3 linked regions of the Rattus norvegicus genome follow. The protein of the gene in region 3 interacts with the protein of the main gene of each other region in a pairwise test. Links are inferred from orthologs where the notes say so. Each region holds a gene or a part of one and is shown on either strand. Other genes may lie near its edges.

Region 1 (6,322 bases), on a different chromosome or scaffold from region 3:
TTCAAAGAACTAGGCTTGGTGTGGCATGTCTGGAATGCCCATAGTCAGGAGGGAGAGGTAGAGGAGGCAATTCAAGGATAGTTTGAGGCCCTGTGTTTTGTTTTGAGACAGGGTTTCTTGGTGTAGCCCTGGTCACCTAGAACAGGATGGAGCTCTGTAGACCAGGCTGGCCTGAATTCAGAGAAATCCACCTGCCTCTGCCCCACCAAGCACTGGGATGAAAGGCATGTGCCATCACAGCCCAGCATTGAAGCCCCTATCTTAAAAAGAAAAAACTGAGTTGATACACACCTGTGTGAACAATACTTGTTTTTACCTTAGAGAAGATATTAAACGGATGTTCACAGACATGATATTGAAGTAAGCACAGAGGATTTGGCTTTAATCTGGGTTCTGAGGTCACAGAGATACAGCTTATCTGTAGCCCAGTGTAGGATGGAGTCATCTATGTCCCTTTGGTGGCCACAGGTAGGTGGGGGAAGCCAGGAGGTCTAGGAAAAGGCAATCTGCTCCAGAGCAACAGTTCTGTTGAAAGATGAGCCTTTGTGGAGAGAGGAGGGTGGGAAGAATGAGTCACTGCTATGAGCACGTCTGCTGTTGAGGATGAGTGCATGTGTAAAGTTGAGTCCAGCTCTTTAGGAACTCCCGTCCCGTCACCTGGAGGTATAGTGGTGTAGACCTGTAACCCTAGCACTTTGGGAGGCTGAGACAGGAGGATCTGAAGTTAACCCTCCAGATCAGTGTGAGGCTACTGAGAAAGTCTGCAGAAAAAAAATTACACAGGTCAGATGTCTAATCCCAGCACACAAGAGACAGAGACAAGTAGGACTACATAGCAGTTGGAGGTCCATAGTGAGACCCTGTCTCAAAAAAGCAATAAAACCATCTTGCAGCTACCATCTATGCATAAGACACACCTGTCCCACCCATCTGCCAGTAGAGTCAGACACATCTGTCCACTAAACCTCATTAATTCATGAAAGGAGGGATGCTGTACAGGATCCAGCTGCCCAAGACCCTGTAAGAGAAAATTCTCTGAGGTAGGCCTCCTGATACCCAGTAGGCCCACTGTCAGCTCCTCTCGGATGGAACTATGTAACGCCAGGAAGGCCCAGGACCAAAGATACGTTGAGGAAACTGAGTTCCCCAACAGTTCTCTGACAGTCCTGAGCCTTCTGGGATCCACAGACTGGAATTGTTACCACCTTCTCTTCCTCACCAGCCTCTGCTTTTAAGCTGAGTGCTTTTTACCTCCACACTCCTTGGATCTACCTCTTCCAATACCGAGAACTGGCCTGCGCTCCCCTATGTGTGGGAGTTCCCCAAGAACTACGGCTATACTGGGTTAGCTCCTCTTAACAGGCTACGCTTGTAAAAATGCCTATGGGTTTTCTAAGTCAAATGTTAAACCAGCTAAGCTTGGTAGCACCTGCCTGTGTTCTCAAAGCTGAGAAAACTGAAGCTGCAGGTTACAGAAACCCTGTCTTAAAACAACAAAACCCTCACCTCCCAATCCCACAAAACCAAATAAACACATGCACCAAACTTCACCTTTGGCTCTACAGCTGAACATGATGCACCACACTCCACACTTGGCTGTAAGTCTGTAGGTGAAGATGGAGGGGGGGTGGCATTCAAGGGAAATCAAATACTGAGCTGACACTGGGGGTCTCTCTCTCATGATTTTCCTGGGCAGCCGTAAACCTATACTCCAACTGGAAGAAAGCCTCTTAGGTCCCACTTGGTCAATGAGTTTGTTAGGGTTACAAGAGTAAGCATTTGAGGAGTGAGAGTGGCTAAGCTGCCCACAAAACACTCAGAGGGCCCTAATGACTGGGTCCAGCCCCTCCAGATGCATGGGGTCCAAGCTCCTCTGTGCAGAGTAAAAAGCCTACGCTCAAGACTTGAAAACCCACCAACTCCCCTACTCTGGAACGTCCCAGCGCCCCCCGATTCACCTGAGCAGAGGCAACCATCTTCTGAGTTTTTCCCTCCCAATAAATCTCCTGTCTGAGGTTTGTTGTGTGCTGTGACTTTGTAGTATCCAACTTCCAGGATACCTTTCCCTTCAGAACTGTAACACTGTCATTGGAGAAGGCTTTCTCCACCCATAGCTGTAACATTACAAGAACATGGGTGACTGAAGAATCCCAACCCTAATCAATTTTTTATCTTAAAATTTATCATTTCTAAGATCACACACAGTTGGGCAGGAAGGACTGGTGACAAAAATGTTTCCCCATCCCAAGAGAAAACATGAACATCCAAGTATTTTCAGTACAGTTATCTGAAGACTATTAATGAGGGGGTAATTACATAGTTACCTCCCTCCTCCGAGCGCTTGCTCACCCGTGGGCCTACTGCCCCCACAATATCCAGGGAGCTTAACGGAGATCCCACAGAGGCCATAGTGGGTATTCCTCGCCTCCCACCGGGATTCCTACTGGTACTGTCTGGAACAGTCTGGGATGACGCCTGGACTCAAGAGGCCAAGAAGCCTCTACCTAGGCCTTCTCCAAGGCAGGACGACCCTCACGGCATAACTCAGAGAACAGTAAAAGGCCGTAGGTTGTGCGCTGGCTGTTACCTAGGAGACACAAGGAGCGCGAGCCCTTTGGGGAGCGCCAGCTCTGATTGGTCAGGATGCCCTAACTAGCCAATAGAAACCAGTTCCGCTGTGCACATGCGTCAAGAGGCTAACCCCCAGTCTGGGTCGGCTGTACGTGAGTCCTACGGCTGAGGTTGCAAGAGAAGAACCGCTGCCAAGTCAGGAAGGGGAACCCCCGGAACTCTGCGGCAAAGCGACCCCGAGGAGAGGAACGAAGAGCCTCCCGCGTTAGAGGCCCTGGAAGCGTGCTGTCGTCCTTGCTGAGGCTCACGGGAGACGTAGTCCAAGCGGAGGGGGCCGTTCCTGCGGAGCAGGTGCAGGATTGGCCAGGCTGGTAGGCTAACGGGAGAGGCGGGGCGATCTGTGAGTGGTAGTGGGACGCGCTCCGTGTCACTTCCTGGAAGTGCCTCAAGCTTCTCGGGCTCCCCCACGCGTCAGAGGTGAGCGCACTCCTAGCTGTGCAGGCGCAGCTTTATAATCCCCCTCCTCTGACCGCCGAGAGTGCCTCCCAGCCATCGGACCCACCCTTTTTCTGTGTCAGAGCCTGAGACCCCAACTCTGAGTGTCTCCTGAACAGGCCAGATGTCTCAGGAGAGCTGATTTCAATCCAGAACTTCTTAAGAGCTGGTACATAGGTTCCAGCTGACTACACACAAAACGGGGCTGTTTGATTTGGCTTTTGTTTCGGGGTTTCACATGCATAGGCTGAGGCAGTGTGAGGCATCCACAGTTCAGTTGTGGTCAGTGAACTGTGTCTGCCAGCCTATATAAGCCCCTGGCAGTGCACCCAAGCTTTCAGCGCTGCCCCCCAGGTGATGTACTTGGGCCCCAGAGTCAACTCTTCAGCTAGCACAGTGGTCTGCCTCCTGCCTGAAGCCTCAGGGCTTCAGGTTACCCTGGATGATGGTCCGATCTATGTCCTGCTTGAACTCTTGTCTACCGGGGGAACCACTTTCATCTCCCAACAGCCCTCTGTTTTACCCAAATATTTGAGCCAGTAATTTGCAGTTTTCTAGAAGATCCTTGGACACCTTCTACTCAAGTCGTTATCTTCAAGGCTTTCTCAACTACTGTGGGCCTGCACCTTCCATGACCTTCCTTGAAGTTCTCCTGCCCACAGGGTTCTCTTTATGGCTTCTAGGAAGGATCTGGTGTATGCCTTCTGACCTTAGATGACATTCTTCCTTTTCTGTAGGTAGGACCCTCTGTCACCTCCAAAAAGACCCTCAAAACAAGAATGCCATCTCCTCTGGGTACCCCACACCTATCCTTCAGAGACTCCAGGACCACCCTTGAGGAGCCTGAGGCTGCACGACTCCATTTCCGGGGTTTCTGCTATGAGGAGGTTGAGGGACCCCGAGAGGCATTGGCCCGGCTTCGAGAGTTGTGTCACCAGTGGTTGCAGCCTGAGTCATCCTCCAAAGAGCAGATGATAGAGTTGCTGGTTTTGGAACAGTTCCTGGGTGTGTTGCCTCCTGAGATCCAGGCCTGGGTTCGAGGACAGCGACCAGGAAGCCCCGAGGAGGCCGCTGCCCTTGTTGAGGAGCTGCAGCATGATCCTGGACAGCTGCTGGGCTGGGTGAGTGCAATGACATTAGCTTCTTAAAGGGACAGATTGAAGGGAGAGCCCCTGTAACATGCTTCTCTTCAGATCACAGCCCACATCCTGAAGCCAAAGATACTTCCTTCAGTCCAGAAGATGGAGGAGTCCTCAGGGAGCCACCACATCTCAGCAGCAATGGAATCCTCCAAGGCAGGCCCAGCGGAGGCACCGCAGGACGCAGGGATAGACAGATCTACCCAGATCAGTTGCAGTGTGAAGGAGGAAGTCAGTGCTGATGGGCAGGAGATGGGTGAGGGGATGCAGCATCTGAACTCAAATCCCTGGGGTGTGTGGGGTACGGGGGGGGGGGTTAGAGTAAGGTGCTCTAGGAGAGGTTTTGCAGGGCTGCAACTCCTGAAATGAGTCTGGACAATCCCAGCTGAGATAAGGACTCTGGAGAGACCATAAAGCTGAATTTCTGAGAAGGAACAGGGTGATCTCCCCCATGTCAAATTGCAGAGGCGGGCCAAAGGCCAATGCAGTAACAACAGCTTGATACTCCTTCCCATCTGCCTCTCTTTCTCAGTATCTCCAAGCACCCTCCTTCCAGCCCAGGGCCCTGAGGGACATCTTGAACATCAGGAAACAGCCTCCGTATCGTTCCAGCCAGGAAGAATCCAGGTAAACAGCCTCTAGCAGGCCTTGCATGTGGGAGGAGGAGTGTCTCTGGTGGCTTGTGTTCTGCCCTACAGTTTTGTAGGATCCCCTGCCAGTGACTCATGTGGTTTTTACTACTTCTGAGTAGTAAATACCTTCCCTCCCATCAAGTCCTATTGGTAGCCTCTCATTAGAAAGGATTTAGGCCCCAGATCCAGAAGTGGCTAGAACTGGTGGGCATGGATTTCTCACCTCCAGAGAAGTCAGTTACTGGAAAGGTTTACAGTATACACAAGCCATGAGCCAGTTGTTATGTGTACAGTTGGGGAGGGGATGGCCATGCAGGATTCCTGCAGTCCTGAGGTCAGATCAAAATTCTCTTCCCGAACATTCCTCAAACCCCTTCTACTGCTCTTTTCAGAGTACAGTGACACAGAGGCTGAGCTTAACCTGCTACCTGCATGTGTATAGTTAACATGGAGAGAGTAGAGATCTGTCCCCTCTAGGTTCTTTCTGCTTCTGAGCCCTTACCTTCTTTCTCAATAGAATGTCTAGTTAGGGTGTGCTTCAAGGTTAAGAAACCCTTCTTTGATCCCTCTCTGGTATCCTGCTCCATTCCAGACTAATAACACCTCTAGATGTAGCTGTGGCAGCCACCTTCCTTTCTCCAGATTTGCTTTGGCTTGTCCTTCAGGGTTATTTTTCTCAACCTATCAAAGACCTATATGGCAGATTTCAGGGCAAGGGATTCTTTCCTTGGTATGGCCATCACAGCACGCATGCATGCCCTCGTGCACACACACACACACACACTGTCTTGCCACCAAATTGCCCCTCTTCAGACCTTGCTTGAACCGGCTGCCACCTGGCACAAAGCACCTAAGCTTTCTCTCTCCATCGCCTTTACCTACTCACCTCATCACATCAATTCCTCCTCCCCCTCTACCCCTTTGTGTGTGTGTGTGTGTGTGTGTGTGTGTGTGTGTGTGTGTGTGTGTGTGTGTGTGTTGGGAGGCAGTTTGAGACAAGGTTTCTCTGTGTAACAAGCCCTGGCTGTCCTGAACTAGCTTTGTAGACCAGGAACTTCCGAGTACTGGGACTAAAGGTGTGCTCCACCATGCCCAGCTTCATTACTCTTTTTAATCTTCCTCCCCACCACATCCTGTTTTTGTTCTGTTTTGTTTTGTTTAATCTCTCTACAAAGCCCCAAATGTCCTGGATCTGAGTATGTAGACCAGGCTGACCTCTGCTTCTGAGCACTGGGATCAAAGTGTGCACCCATCATGCCTGGCTCCTTAATCCTCTTTCTAAAAAATAAAATGAAATAAAGGTTTTGCAAATGTAGCTCACTTGGTAGAGTGCCCACCTAGCATGCATGAGGTCCTAGATTTTATCTCCAGCACTGCATAAACTGGTAATCCCAGAACTCAGGAGGTAGAGTCTGGAAAATCAGAACTTTCAAGTTATGCTCAGCTACACAGTGCATTTGAGGCTAACGTGGGCTACACAGACCC
Region 2 (6,342 bases), on a different chromosome or scaffold from region 3:
GAACCCCCTGTGCATCTATCCACCTGAGCAGTCTGTATGAAACCTGGCTGTGGAGCCATTTAAGCTTAAGCTGGGGCTGGAGGATCTGGAGTCCTGGGCCAGCCTGGGCTACATCGAAGGGTATGCCTCAAACATGTTAAACATTGTAAAGCAGACCCCAGGCACAGACCGCTTCTCCCTCCGTTTCGTTTTTGTTTGGTTTGTTTTTGCTTTTTGAGACAGGGTCTCCCTGTGTGGTTCTGGATCTTGCTGTGTGGACCAGATTGGCCTCAAACTCAGTGTGTACCCTCCTGGTTCTGCTGTGACTATAGCTGCCCTCCCATCTCTCAGCATAGAGCACACTCATTCACACACACACACACACACACACACACACACACACACACACAAGTGCTGAGATTAAAGATATGTACCATCACTCCCTGGAATGCATTCTCTTCTGACAGGTAATGAGCGGGCACTCGAGGAAAGTCAGACCCAGGTCCCCAGCTGGTAAGAGATGGAGCTTGAATTTAAACTCAGGCAGCTGTGCCCCCCAACCTGACTGGGTATTTAAGTACTTGGACATCATAAGTATCTGGGAGAGGGCACACTGAGATGGCTCAGTAGGTATGCCTACCAAGCCTGACTACCTGCGTTCTATCCCCAACATGAGGAGAGGAGAGAACTGACTCCCACTCCTCCTCTGACCTGCACACACTGACACAGTCACACTTGTACACACACACACACACACACACACACACACACACACACACACACAGTGATTTCTTTTTTTCTTAATTTAAGGGTGGAAAGATGGCTCAGTAGTTAAGAGCACATACTGCTTTTCTGAAATATCTGAGTTCAGTTCCCAGACCCCATGTCAGGTGACTCAACAACTGTCTATAGTCCCAGCCCCAGGGAGTCGGACGTCCTCTCCTAGACTCTGGGCACAATCACACACTATTTAAAAATAAATTTCTCTTAAAAAACTTCCCCCATGGAGGTAGTGGCCTCCTAGCATTTAGCAGGCAGAAGCAGGCAGCTCAGGGGCAGCCAAGGCTACATAAAGAAACCCTGTCTCAAACCAGAAACAAACAAAAAACAAAAATAAAAACATTGTCAAGGCAGTTGGGAAGAGAGGGGAAAATCTTAAATGCAGTTTCTGGATTCTGGCATCTCAATTTGCATTTGAGACTTTACCCGACACAATGCCAATGTCAGGCTCTGGTGCTGTGTGAGTCCTCAGTGGTCATTGAATAAAAAATAAAAAGGAAAAGAAAGGTCATGACTGCTTCTAAGTGGAGCAGAAAGTCTATTGTAGATAAAAGGAGAGCAGAGGCAGAGCCGTCTGGGTCTGGGAGAGTCTAGAGAGAACATGGCCGGACTGAGCTGGACCATGTGAGGAGAGAAGAGGACAGGGGGAATCAGGTGCAGCACCCAGGAGGGCAAAGATACAGAAACCCAGATGTCTGGCGCATAAATTTATATATATATATATATATATATATATATATATATATATGCATGCATATGCCTCTGGGAGGAGGGTAGCCCAACCCCTGGGTTAGAAAGTTTAGGGGACAGGATATACCAACCATACCCCTTAATCTGTAGGGACTGAGGGGTGCTGGGAGGACCAGGTGGCCAGGTCTGACTTGATATATTAACTAGGTGCCTCAGCCATTTGCCCTGGGTTTGAAGTTAACAGTTACCCACACAGCAGTGAGATGTGACCCAACTGAAGCTAGCACAGTACGTCTTGGGCATAAGCTATAGCTCAGTGCTAGGACCCCTGCCTGGAATCCTCCAGTGAGGGTCAGAGAAGTGGAGCTTAGTGGGAGAGTACTGACTTAGCCTTTGTGAGGTTCTGAGTCCATCTCAGTGGTTCAGGAGCAGTCTGCTTGCCTGGCCTCTACAGACAGCCAGGGACTCAGCTTGTCCAGAACAGAGCAAGAGAGGAGAGGGGTAAGAGACTTCCTCAGAGAGCAAGGTCTGGGAGGCAGAAAAGCCTGTAGATTTGATTGTAAACTAGATGGGAGCTTCTAGGAGGCCGGGGCATGGTTACACTGCGTATATGTGAGTACTAGGTTTGTGAGTATATGTAAGTACTGAGTATATGTGAGTACTGAGAATATGTGAGTACTGGACTGGTGAGTTTATATAAGTACTGAGCATATGTGAGTACTGGGTCAGTGAGTATATGTAAGTACTGAGTATATGTGAGTACTGGGCTGGTGAGTATATGTAAGTACTGAGTATATGTGAGTACTGGGCCAGTGAGTATATATAAGTACTGAGTATATGTGAGTACTGCGCCAGTGAGTATATGTGAGTACTGGGCAGGTGAGATGGCTCAGTGGCTTTCCACTAAGCCTACAGCCTGAGTATAGTGAAAGGCTCACATGAGGAAAGGAGAGAACTGACTCCTACACGTTGTCCTCTGACCTCCATGTGCTTCACATGCCATACACACACAGAGAAATTCACGTTATAAAGTGTACATTTAAAAGGAGCCCTTTGCAGCTTCTGCAGCAGGAGCAGGACAGGCGGTAGGAATTGAGGGAAGGGCTAGGACAGATACCAATTGTACTCGGACACCTCAGTGTAGAGTCTGGAGTCACATGGCTCTCTTACCTGTCTGTCTGTCTGCCTGCCTCCCTCCCTCCCTCCCTCCCTCCCTCCCTCCCTCCCTCCCTCCCTCCCTCCAGGCTCTCCTTGGCTACCCCTGCACTCTGTGGAGGCTCAGCGTCAGGTTGCAACTCAGAACTCCTGTGAACTCCAAGAACCAGAAGATCCAGGCCACAGAGCCCCATCTTCACAGCCTCCGCAGCCCCCGCAGCCTCCAAAGGGCACTCCTCACTGCATGTGCTCGCCAGGCTGATTTCACAGTTGGAGCCTTGCTAGTAAGACCCTACAGGCAGTTCCCAAGATGGTGAGTAGAGGATTCCCAGGTCTGCACTCCTCCTGGCAGCCCTGCCCATCCCAGGCCCTTGAGTGGTCATTATTGGTTGTCATATATGGTGGTTGCAGAGCTTCGCTGGGAACTGGAACACCCCACCCCCAGTCACCTCTCTGTGAAGATCTTGCTCCCCTCCTGCCCTTTCCCTTCCTTCCTTATGCTATTTAGCTAAGGATGATCTTAAACTCCTAGTCCTTCTTCCTCAGAGATCCATATCCAAATGCAGGATTATGCCTCCCTGCTTCAGAGTGGGGGATGGAAGCCAGGGCCTTGCAAGTTCCAGACAGGAGCTCTGCCACTGAGCCACATTCCAACCCTGCCTTACCCCAGCCTTCCTTACCCCAGCCCTGCCTTACCCCAGCCTTCCTTACCCCAGCCCTGCCTTACCCCAGCCTTCCTTACCCCAGCCCTGCCTTACCCCAGCCCTGCCTTAGCCCAGCCTTACACTAGCCACTATGAAATGTGTGTGTCCCTGCCCACTTTCTTCTTCAGTTTAGCTCTAGGAAACTCATCCTCTGAAAAGGAGGCCCTGTACAGCTAAGCTAATCAATAACTTTTAAAAATAGATAATTATGCTTTTGTTTATTGTAGAACAGGTGTGCGTGCATGTGGTAGTCAGCTTGGAGGAATTGGTTCCTCTTCCACCCTGTGGTCCCCAGGTTTAAATTCAGGTCCTTAGGCTGGCAGACACCATCAGCCCTAAGCAGCCGCTTCTGCCTCACCACCCCTGACAGCAACACTGCTGCTTCCAGCTGAGCCTGCCTGCCGTGAGCGTCCAAACTCTCCCGTCTGCCCTCCCTGCTCTCCTTGAGACTCACGGCCTCTTCTGTCATTGGTTGTTCTTGCATGTGTGTTTATGGACACATTTCCAAATATAACCTGTTGAGTGCAAACACTGTCGCTCGTGTGTGTGTTTTTAGGGATGACATTTGGCACTGGGAACCCGTTGGTGTGTTTCTCTTTGGGGAGAGCAGCCTCACCTGCTCCCAGATTTCCTCAGTTGCCTGTGGTTCTATGTATAGGGTAGAGGCCTCATGGTCTTCACCCTGTCCTCTTTAACATGTTGGTTGGTGTTCTTGTTCACCTCATGTTTGGGCAGTCATGTGGGAGAGCCTTCACAGGTATGGCTTGTAATGCCTCTAAGAGACATAGTCTCACAGCAAAGTCCTCTGGACCTCATAATCAATCTCCTGCCTCCTCTCCCACAGTGGTCACTGTGCCAGAGTTGGGGGGAGGGGGGGCGTTGCAGTTGGGCAGCTGCTGCACAACCCTGCGTATGGATCGGTTGTGGCTTTCCGTGTGGTCTCTGTCTCTTGCAAAGGGACATTTTCTTGATGAGGGATAAAGACCACACTTGTTGGTCTAGACCCCGGAGGAGGACATGGTAACCTGGATATGGGGTGCGTAGGCCCTGCATGGCCTTCTCCAACTTTTTCCCTCTGCTTTCAGGGGGAAAGGAAAGGCCAGAACAAGTACTACCCTCCGGACTTCAACCCCGAAAAGGTGAGCATCTCCCCACAGCCCCACAGCTTAGGGACCAAGTGTGACAAGTCACCTAGAGAAGACTCGCAGGCCCCTCCCTGGAGAATGTGTGCAGACTCTACCCAATTACCATGCCATTACATATAAAGCATTCCTAAAGATGCTGGTGTCCCTGGGGGCTCCTGGAACTGCTTCCTTCAGATACCAAGGACAACTCTGTCCCTGGCCCCAAGCTGTGTACCTCCACACCTCCCATGTTGCTTGTAGGGTGTAAGAATGAAGCCCCTCCTACTTAGGAGGCATTGTCCCCCAGCGTAGGAACAGCAAGGGAACAAGCTACCCAGCTTAGCCCGCTCTCCTTCACTTACCCTTTCTACACAGCATGGCTCTCTCAACCGATACCACAACAGCCACCCACTTCGAGAACGGGCTCGGAAGCTCTCACAAGGCATCCTTATTATCCGGTAAGAAACTTCTCCCCTTCTCCCAAGACCTCCACTTTGCATCGATCTCATATCCCCTAATTGACTGACCCAATGCTGCAAGGTTATAATTCCATGAAGCTGATAGACAGTGCATCAGTCAGCCATCACTGTGTGAGAGAACAATCAGTCAGCTATTGCTGTATGAGAGAACAATCAGTCAGCTATTGCTGTATGAGAGAACAATAAGCATTTTTATTGATAACAAGGCTGGGCGTCTCTTCTGGGCTTGGAAGGGAGACTAGGCCTTCTTCCTTTATTGATGAGTGCTTGGAGGCAGAAGACAAGTCCTATGGGGCCTTGGCCTGTATGGGTAGACTGCTCCACAGTGGGTCTCTCTTCCAGCAGACCAGCTATATTATGGCTCCAAAAGAAGAAGTGCCAGGGGTCTTAAGGCCAAGACAAGACCTGACACCCTTGAACCTTCTTTCCTATTAGTTGTGTGGTCAGACCCTGACTCCAGGCCTGGGACCAGACTCTGTCTGGGTAGGACAAGCCAGAGAGTGATGCATAAGGAAATGAGCACAGAAGAAAGAGTGGCCAGCCAGGGCCTGCACAGGTGTACACATCTGCCTACCAAGGACTATGTGGCCTGAGGCAGGAGGATTACTTGAGTCCAAGAGTTCAGGAATAGACTAGGTAACACAGCCAGAATACATCTTAAGAAAAAAGGGGTGTGGGGAGCAGTGACTCAGTGGGTAAAGGCATTTGTGGTCAAGCCAGATAACCTGAATTCGGTCCCCACACCCGCAGAATAGAAGGATAAAACCAACTCATGAAGGTCGTCTTCTGACCACCACACACAATGGTTAAATCAATAAATAAATGCAAGAACAAAACATTTAAAGAAAAAAAACAACAGGTTGGGGATTTAGCTCAGTGGTAGAGCGCTTGCCTAGCAAGCGCAAGGCCCTGGGTTCGGTCCCCAGCTCCGAAAAAAAAGAAAAAAGAAGAAGAAAAACAACAACAATTAAAAGTCCTTGTCTTTGTTTAGATTTGAAATGCCATACAACATCTGGTGTGACGGCTGTAAGAACCACATCGGCATGGGTGAGCGTGGGTGAGCGCCGCAATGGGTGAGCATGGGTGAGCGTCGCCCTCCCCACCTGCCTTGCCCACCCCTTCAGCCCCCTCTGTGCCAGGTGTTATGAGACACTGGAGATGTTGTCAACCCCACCTTCTGACAAATCAGAAGGTGGCAGGTACCCAAACCAGAGAGCAATGAGAAAGCTAGGCCCTGAGGTCCAGATCCTGGGCAAGGGCAGGGCAGGGTCCTGCCTCAGGGCTAGCTAGACTGCAGGAAAGACGATGACAATCTAGGAGCACAGTGCTGGGAGACAAGGTGGCTGGGGGAGGAAAGGATGAGGCTGTGAGGAAGGTGAGTGACCCGCAGACTACCTAAGGATGTGCACTGTCGGAACAGAGACCAAGCCT
Region 3 (6,522 bases):
CAAAACCGCTGAAGATGTTAATGTCTGGGAGTAAAAGTACCTCAGGCCAGTGAATCAATCAGCAGAAAAAGACAAGCTCTTAATGCAGACATATTTCTAAAACTGCAGACTAAAAGGGGTTTGCCACAAGAACAAGCAAAGCACTCTGGGGAAAGTCAACATGGTGTCCTGGTCCTCACCACAGTGCCTCAGAGAGTGGAGTTCCCAGGATGCCCACTTGAGCTGGTTCTCTACGGCGTCAAGCTCAGAACTCGGTAATCCCTGAGCGTCTTCTTGAGATGCTATCTCTTCTACAAGTACTTCCCGTTTCCGCCGACGGAGAGAAACCTGAAAACAAGATTTGAGTTTGGTTGAGAAGGGACTCTGACACTAAGCAGTATAACAGAACATACAGAAGACATGAGAATCCTAGCTAGCAGCACAGCGGAGGTCCTGCCGAGTTGCAAGGACACTGGAGGGAGGTACAGATATAACTTAGCCAAGTGCAGTTAATCCAGCAGTTTGCCTACTGCTATGTTAGTGTCCTGCCTTGGGGAAATGAGTCAAGCATGCTCACCGGCTGTCCAGGGTCATCAAGTTCACTCTCCAAGTCCTCTAGAACAGTCACTGCCTCCTCTCCGTTCTCTGGGTGATGCTCTCGAACCAAAGTCTGTAGCTCCCTGGGGAGGATGGCGACAAACTGCTCCAAAACCACCAGCTCCAGTATCTGCTCCTTCGTGTGCGTCTCCGGTCTGAGCCACAGGCGGCACAGTTCTCGGAGCTGGCTCACCGCCTCTCGCGGTCCTGGTGAATCCTGGTATCCAAACTGCCTGAACCGCTGCCGGAAAATCTCCGGGTCAGGGAGATGGTTCCAGGAAATGCTCGATCCTTCTTCACCGTCAGGATCCTCCTCTAGTTTCACTCTCAGAATTTTTTCTTCTTCATCTGGATTTGGGATGATAAGTATTGAATCTTCTTCCACTGACTGGGCAGACATCCTGTTACAATACCTCCAAGAAAAGGCAACTGAGGCAAGGTACAGACCTCAGAAATACCCTGTTTTCCTCAAAAGTACTCCTAAGGTACAAGAAATAAAAAACACATAAATCACCAAGTACCCCATGATATTCGAAAAGCAGAAGGAAAAAAAAAGAGATACATTGCTTTACTTGATTAAAACTTGAAATCAATAACTTACACTGACTGAAAGTCTGCCATAGCTGGTAAACCACAGCCTATTTACCCTGCTGCCTGCTACACCATCCGTAGAGAAGTAGTGTAAACGTTTTAATGACTAAAAAAGTACAGAAATACTTCATGCTGAGAAAATATGATGTGTCTGTCTAGGACCAGCAAGGTTACTCATCTGGCAAAGGCCTGATGACTTGAGTCCAATGACCAACATGTACATAAGAGAAAAATTATTTCTGCAAGTCTGGTCTTCACAAGTGGGACAGACAGACACACACACAGAGACAGACAGACAAACACACACACAAGATGTAAAAATGTCTTTAAAAATGGTTTATGTACACTGTTTTTGCTTGCATGTATGTCTGTGTGAGGATGTCAGACCCCTTAGAACTGGAGTTAGAGACAGTTGTGAGCTGCCATGTGGGTGCTGGGAATTGAACTTGGGTCCTCTGGAAGAGCAGCCAGTGCTCTTAACCACTGAGCCATCTCTCCAGCCCCATTAATATGTTTACATTTTGTGTATATAAGTCATTAAATTTAATCGTGGTTTGGGCTATAATGTGGTAGAGTTGACAGTATTCAATGATTTCAGCTAAGATCTAAAACAATGTAATATTTACCAGCTTGCTCTTTTTAGGAAAAAAAAAAGATTGCTAATTTGTGACATATAGTCTACAAAGGGTAATTTAATAGCCTACAGTATCTGGGTAAGATGCAGTCTACCTCAGTGTTCTCCAAACGTCCTGAAGCTTGGGACTGGAGAGTTGGTTCAGCAGTTAAGAATGCATTCCCCTGCAGTGGACCCTGGTTTGTTTCCCTGAACCACAAACTCCTCTCTCTTCTCACCTCCTCAGGCACCAGGCAAACACACAGTGCAAATATACATAAAATAACAAACTAAGTATTCAGAACAGTAGGACACATAAAACATGTTTTTTGACATTTATTTCGTGTTGGAACACATCAGCACAGGTGTGGAGGTCAGGGGACATTAGTTCCCTCCTGCTATGTGCAATCTGGGATCTTGGGAACAAGCCCCCGACCTGATGAGGCACCCTACTTTTCATTTTTTGCAAACCTGGAGTAGGAAATAGATCAACCGTTCTCCCAGTTAGAATCCCCCAGAATGAGAGACTATCCTTACCCATCATGCTCTACTGCTGAGCTAATCCCCAGAATTGTCACAAATACTCTAATGTTTGTTTAGGAACTCCCTAAACTTAAAATATATGCGAAAAATGTTCACTAGTAGATAGGTATGCGCCCAAAAGCCCAACATTGTAGGCTTTACATGCAGAAGCAAGATTATGGTCATCCATGTGGCAAAGCCAACCTGGGCTATTAGATCTTGTCACAGACTTTCTTTTACACAGTTCAGTAACAGATCATATAACACTGGGGAAGGAACTATTTCACATAACATACAAATGTTACTCAGGCTTCCACCACACCATACATACATTTAAACTTACAGTGACAAGCTTCAACCACAGCAAATTCTATTAGGAAAAAGCACTCACAACTTCTCAGTGTACGGGAGTCTTTTCCCTGATGAAGCTTCCCCTAACTTTTCCTTTGGGGAAATCTGAGCTACTTTCTGATGCTTTTGGAATTTGCAAAATCATAGCCGTGCCACGGTTTACAGCACATAAAGAATAATAAGTTTACGGCTACTGTTTATTAGAGCCAAGAACTTAAGAGACAGAAACTTAAGAAAACCATATTGAAACCGATCAAGATGAAGACAAAAGATCAGAAAAGGCTGTCTCAAACTGACAGGTCATATAGACACTCAGGAGTGGGATGGCCTGATATCAAAATCTAAGTTCTTATTCCTGGACCCGATTCTATCAGCAATCAAGCATTTCTATGTGATAGAAACTGCTTTTTCTTTTACTTTGTACTGCACCAAGCTCGTGGGATGTGGAGGAACGCCGTCCGGCACTCGGCGGGATCCTGGTCTTCAGCGACCGCCCGCCTCACAGCGCTGAGCCCAGCCTGCCCCAGCAACTCGGACGTCCTCTTCCCAGCATTCACCAGGAAGGGCTGCAGAAGCCCCAGAACCACCCCGCCACACAGGACAGGCACTTCCGCCCGGGACCGGCGGGACTACAAATCCCAGCAGGTCGCGCGCGAGAACGGCCGGATCCCCCCTCGGCTTGAGCGTCTCCCAGAATCCTCCGCGAGCCGCTAGAGCCTCGAAATAGAACAAAACCGGCCCGTGGGGGAGGGGAAAGCAGGCCGGAGAGGATGCGGGCGCTGGAGGCTCTGCGGACCCCCGAAGTGCCGCAGGTCGCCGCCGCCCTTCCGCCGCCGCGGCCTTTTATGCGCACGCCCGGAATGCTGAGCGTCGCCGGCCTCTGGACCCTTACCTGAGCCCCCGCCTCCTCGAACCCTACCCCCGCGCGCTGCTGACCTCTGGCTCGGGACCCGCCACAGCCTCGTCGTCCCGGGCAGACGCTGCGCCGCCGCTTTCAGCCGCTTCCCACAAGCCCCCGGCGCGCACGGCTTCCGGTCCGCAGGACGGGGGGGGGGGCGGGAGGGAATGGGGAAGCCGAAGCCCGGAGTTGCCATGGGGACGCGCGGTGAGCGGGGGAGGTGCCGCTTGATGACAATGGCCGCATTGAGGCTGCGCTTGGCCTTGCGCCTCTCACTGAGTGACTGTTGCTCTCTGTTCCACTTTAGAGAAAGGAAAGGGGAGCAGGAGGAACGTGGGCGGCAGTTTCACAAGTGCCCGGTGCTCCTCGCCGGAGCCCTCTGGAGTAACTAGCTTACTCCAGAGTTCTGAAACGTTCTGAAAACGTGCCATGATCGTGTCAGGCACCGTCGCTGTACAATACGTGTAAATCGTTTTTCTTTACCCGCACATCTTTACTTATTGAGCCTTTGGCCCTGAAACAAGGTTTGCCTCTAAACATGCCCCAAACCATTGTCTTCCACTACTGTGTTTCAAAGATTATGACAGATTATCAAAGAAACAAGATAGTTGAGACCTTTGTCACAGAGAATTGCAGAATATACTCATGCTGGTTGTTTGATGCCAAAAAAAGAGCTGCAGTCATAATCACTTAGATTGCCTCATTTCCCTATTTAAAGTGGATTTCAGCTACCTCAACTACCTTGACATTAAATAATTGTTACGTTGTTCTGTAGGCCATCTCTGGTCTGTTGCCTGCCTTTGCCTTCTGACCATGCGTGACTTGGACTTATTGTACAGCCTCAGCCTCACTGACCAATGAACGCCCTTTCCTCCAGGTGGCCTCAAGATGCTTGTGGACACTCTGAGAAGTGATCGCATTACTTAGCTGTGCTTTGTTTGAAAGTCTTGTAAAAAGTTGGGTCCTCCCTGTCCCTAGTTTCAGGATGCTGGCTGGTACATAGAAAACTCAGTAAGCACACTTTGAATAAATGCATCAATTGTGGGCTGGTCACATTGCCTGCGGCCTTTGCTAGGTCACATGTCAAGTCTCGGAAATCGCACAAAAGAGCTCTGTTTTGGAAAAAGTCTTGTTAGAAGCAAAGGTCAAGTTTGCAGAACACTTAAAGGATCCTCAAGCCTTGCCCTATTGTCTCATTCAGAAGGGCCTCTGCAAAGTGTCCTGGGCCTCTGCAAAGTGTCCTCGGCCTCTGCTTGTTAGTGAATGAGAGAGCAGTAAACAAGCAGCTCACAGAATAGCAAGACTTCCCATTCCAGCCAGAGCTCACCTTCCCACAACCCCTGTAACTTTTCACTCTTCACTGTGAGGTTTTAGTACAGCCTTCCCCCATCTCCTGTTTGGCTGTAGACAGGATCCGGCTTGGCTGTTCTCTGCAACCTTTTTGTCTATTGTGATTCCGAAGAGCTAACTCAAAGCATACTTTGTTTTGTTTCTTTAAGAGATTTTATAGCAAGTTAATACTGAAAAACATAATAAACCCACTCAAGTAAAAAATGTGACATTTTGTAATTTGCTTTGCCTTTTGATCCATTCTCAGTTAATTTTAAAGTAGTGAATGGGAAGGAACCATAGTGGGAATTTCCTTATGACATTACTTCTTTGCATGCACCCAGTTTGGAAAACTGTCATTTCAAGCCCTTTTTTCCAGAATGGTAACCCTCACTGTCTTCTTAAAAGTCTAGGCAACCTGGAGCTTGGAGCTGGAGAGACTGTCGGTTAAGAACTTGGTCTGCTGTTTAATAGCCCATATCTGCTTTCCAGCTCACAACCACCTGCCCTACAGCTCCAGGGGGTCCAACAACCTCTTCTGTCGCTACCACACTTGCATACACATCACACACAGTCAACATACATTTAAAAGATAAATGTTAAAATATTTAGAGCATCCTGTTCCTCTGGGTAGCCCAAGTGAGGGAGTAGTCCCATACCAGAGGTGATGACCTTGCACTCCATCCACACAGGCCTCATAGCTGAGGCTCGGTGGAATATCAGATCCTGTTGGAACAGATAGATGGGAGGCTTGTGAATACTTACTACCGGACCATTTCTTTCTGTGCCTCCCTACCAGGTTGTCCTTGACACCTTTTCACCTCCTCTTAGGTAATCATGGCACTGCCTTGCCTTCCTAGTTTAGGTACAAACTTTGAAACCCAAATTGATTAGCTACAAGAGGTTCTATAATTCACCCCACTCCTTTATATCGTTTGGGTGTAAGAGATGATCTAGCACCTCTGGCCGATCTTGCTTACATTCTCTTCTTGTAGAACCCAATCTACATGGTGGTACAAACCTTTAATCCTTGCACTTGGGAGACAGGCAGGCCGATCTACATATTAAGTTCCAAGCTAGGCAAGGCACCATGGTGAGACCCTGTCTCAACCCTAAAGAGGCTCATTTCTAATTTTTCTTAAGATTTAATTTTAGTTTTAATTATGTGTATGCATGTGTCCCTGTGCACCCTTGGAGGTCAGAGGGTGTCAGGGTATGATTACCTAGAGCTGGAGTTACAGGCATTTGTGAACTACTTGATGTAGGCATTTGGAACCACACAGTCCCCTCCCAGAGCAGTATGAGCTCTTAAGCACTGACTTATCTTTCCAACCCAAAGATTTATTCACTTTTATGACTTCAGATGTTTCCCCCGCTGTATGGATGTACGTGCACCACCTGTGTGGCTGGTGCCCTGGGCGGCCAAAGGAGGCATTGGATCCCCTGGAATCGGAGTTACAGATGGTTGTAAATTGCTGGTAACCTAATCTGGGTCTTTTGGAAGAACAGCCAGTGCCCTTAACTGCTGGCCTCATTTCTTGACCAGCTAAATCTTTTTAACCTCCTTATAAAAATGTCTCGTTTATTAATTGGCAAAAACAAGCTAATAGAAAGTAGACAGGCATCGCCTGGGTGCCAGAGT

The links.
Region 1: the proteins of Zfp24 (region 3) and Zfp446 interact in binary tests that used the Homo sapiens proteins (3 or more experiments, as listed by UniProt). The link is inferred for Rattus norvegicus from reciprocal best matches to the Homo sapiens genes ZNF24 and ZNF446.
Region 2: the proteins of Zfp24 (region 3) and Yju2b interact in binary tests that used the Homo sapiens proteins (3 or more experiments, as listed by UniProt). The two-hybrid records come from large-scale screens. The link is inferred for Rattus norvegicus from reciprocal best matches to the Homo sapiens genes ZNF24 and YJU2B.

What each region holds. Positions count from the first base shown.
Region 1 is NC_086019.1:82,671,241-82,677,562, forward strand, and holds the start of Zfp446 (zinc finger protein 446), read left to right. Parts: upstream 1-2,679; 5' UTR 2,680-2,942; intron 2,943-3,041; exon of another isoform or gene 3,042-3,420; intron 3,421-3,803; 5' UTR 3,804-3,845; coding exon 3,846-4,187; intron 4,188-4,259; coding exon 4,260-4,461; intron 4,462-4,737; coding exon 4,738-4,832; intron 4,833-6,322. UniProt on the Homo sapiens protein: May be involved in transcriptional regulation.
Region 2 is NC_086037.1:40,800,356-40,806,697, forward strand, and holds the start of Yju2b (probable splicing factor YJU2B), read left to right. Parts: upstream 1-2,699; 5' UTR 2,700-2,914; coding exon 2,915-2,917; intron 2,918-4,393; coding exon 4,394-4,447; intron 4,448-4,802; exon of another isoform or gene 4,803-4,807; coding exon 4,808-4,890; intron 4,891-5,902; coding exon 5,903-5,958; exon of another isoform or gene 5,959-5,980; coding exon of another isoform or gene 5,981-5,984; intron 5,985-6,342. UniProt on the Homo sapiens protein: May be involved in mRNA splicing.
Region 3 is NC_086036.1:15,578,345-15,584,866, forward strand, and holds the start of Zfp24 (zinc finger protein 24), read right to left. Parts: upstream 3,618-6,522; 5' UTR 3,546-3,617; intron 3,492-3,545; exon of another isoform or gene 3,071-3,491; intron 1,057-3,070; 5' UTR 977-1,056; coding exon 557-976; intron 328-556; coding exon 180-327; intron 1-179. UniProt on the Homo sapiens protein: Transcription factor required for myelination of differentiated oligodendrocytes. Required for the conversion of oligodendrocytes from the premyelinating to the myelinating state.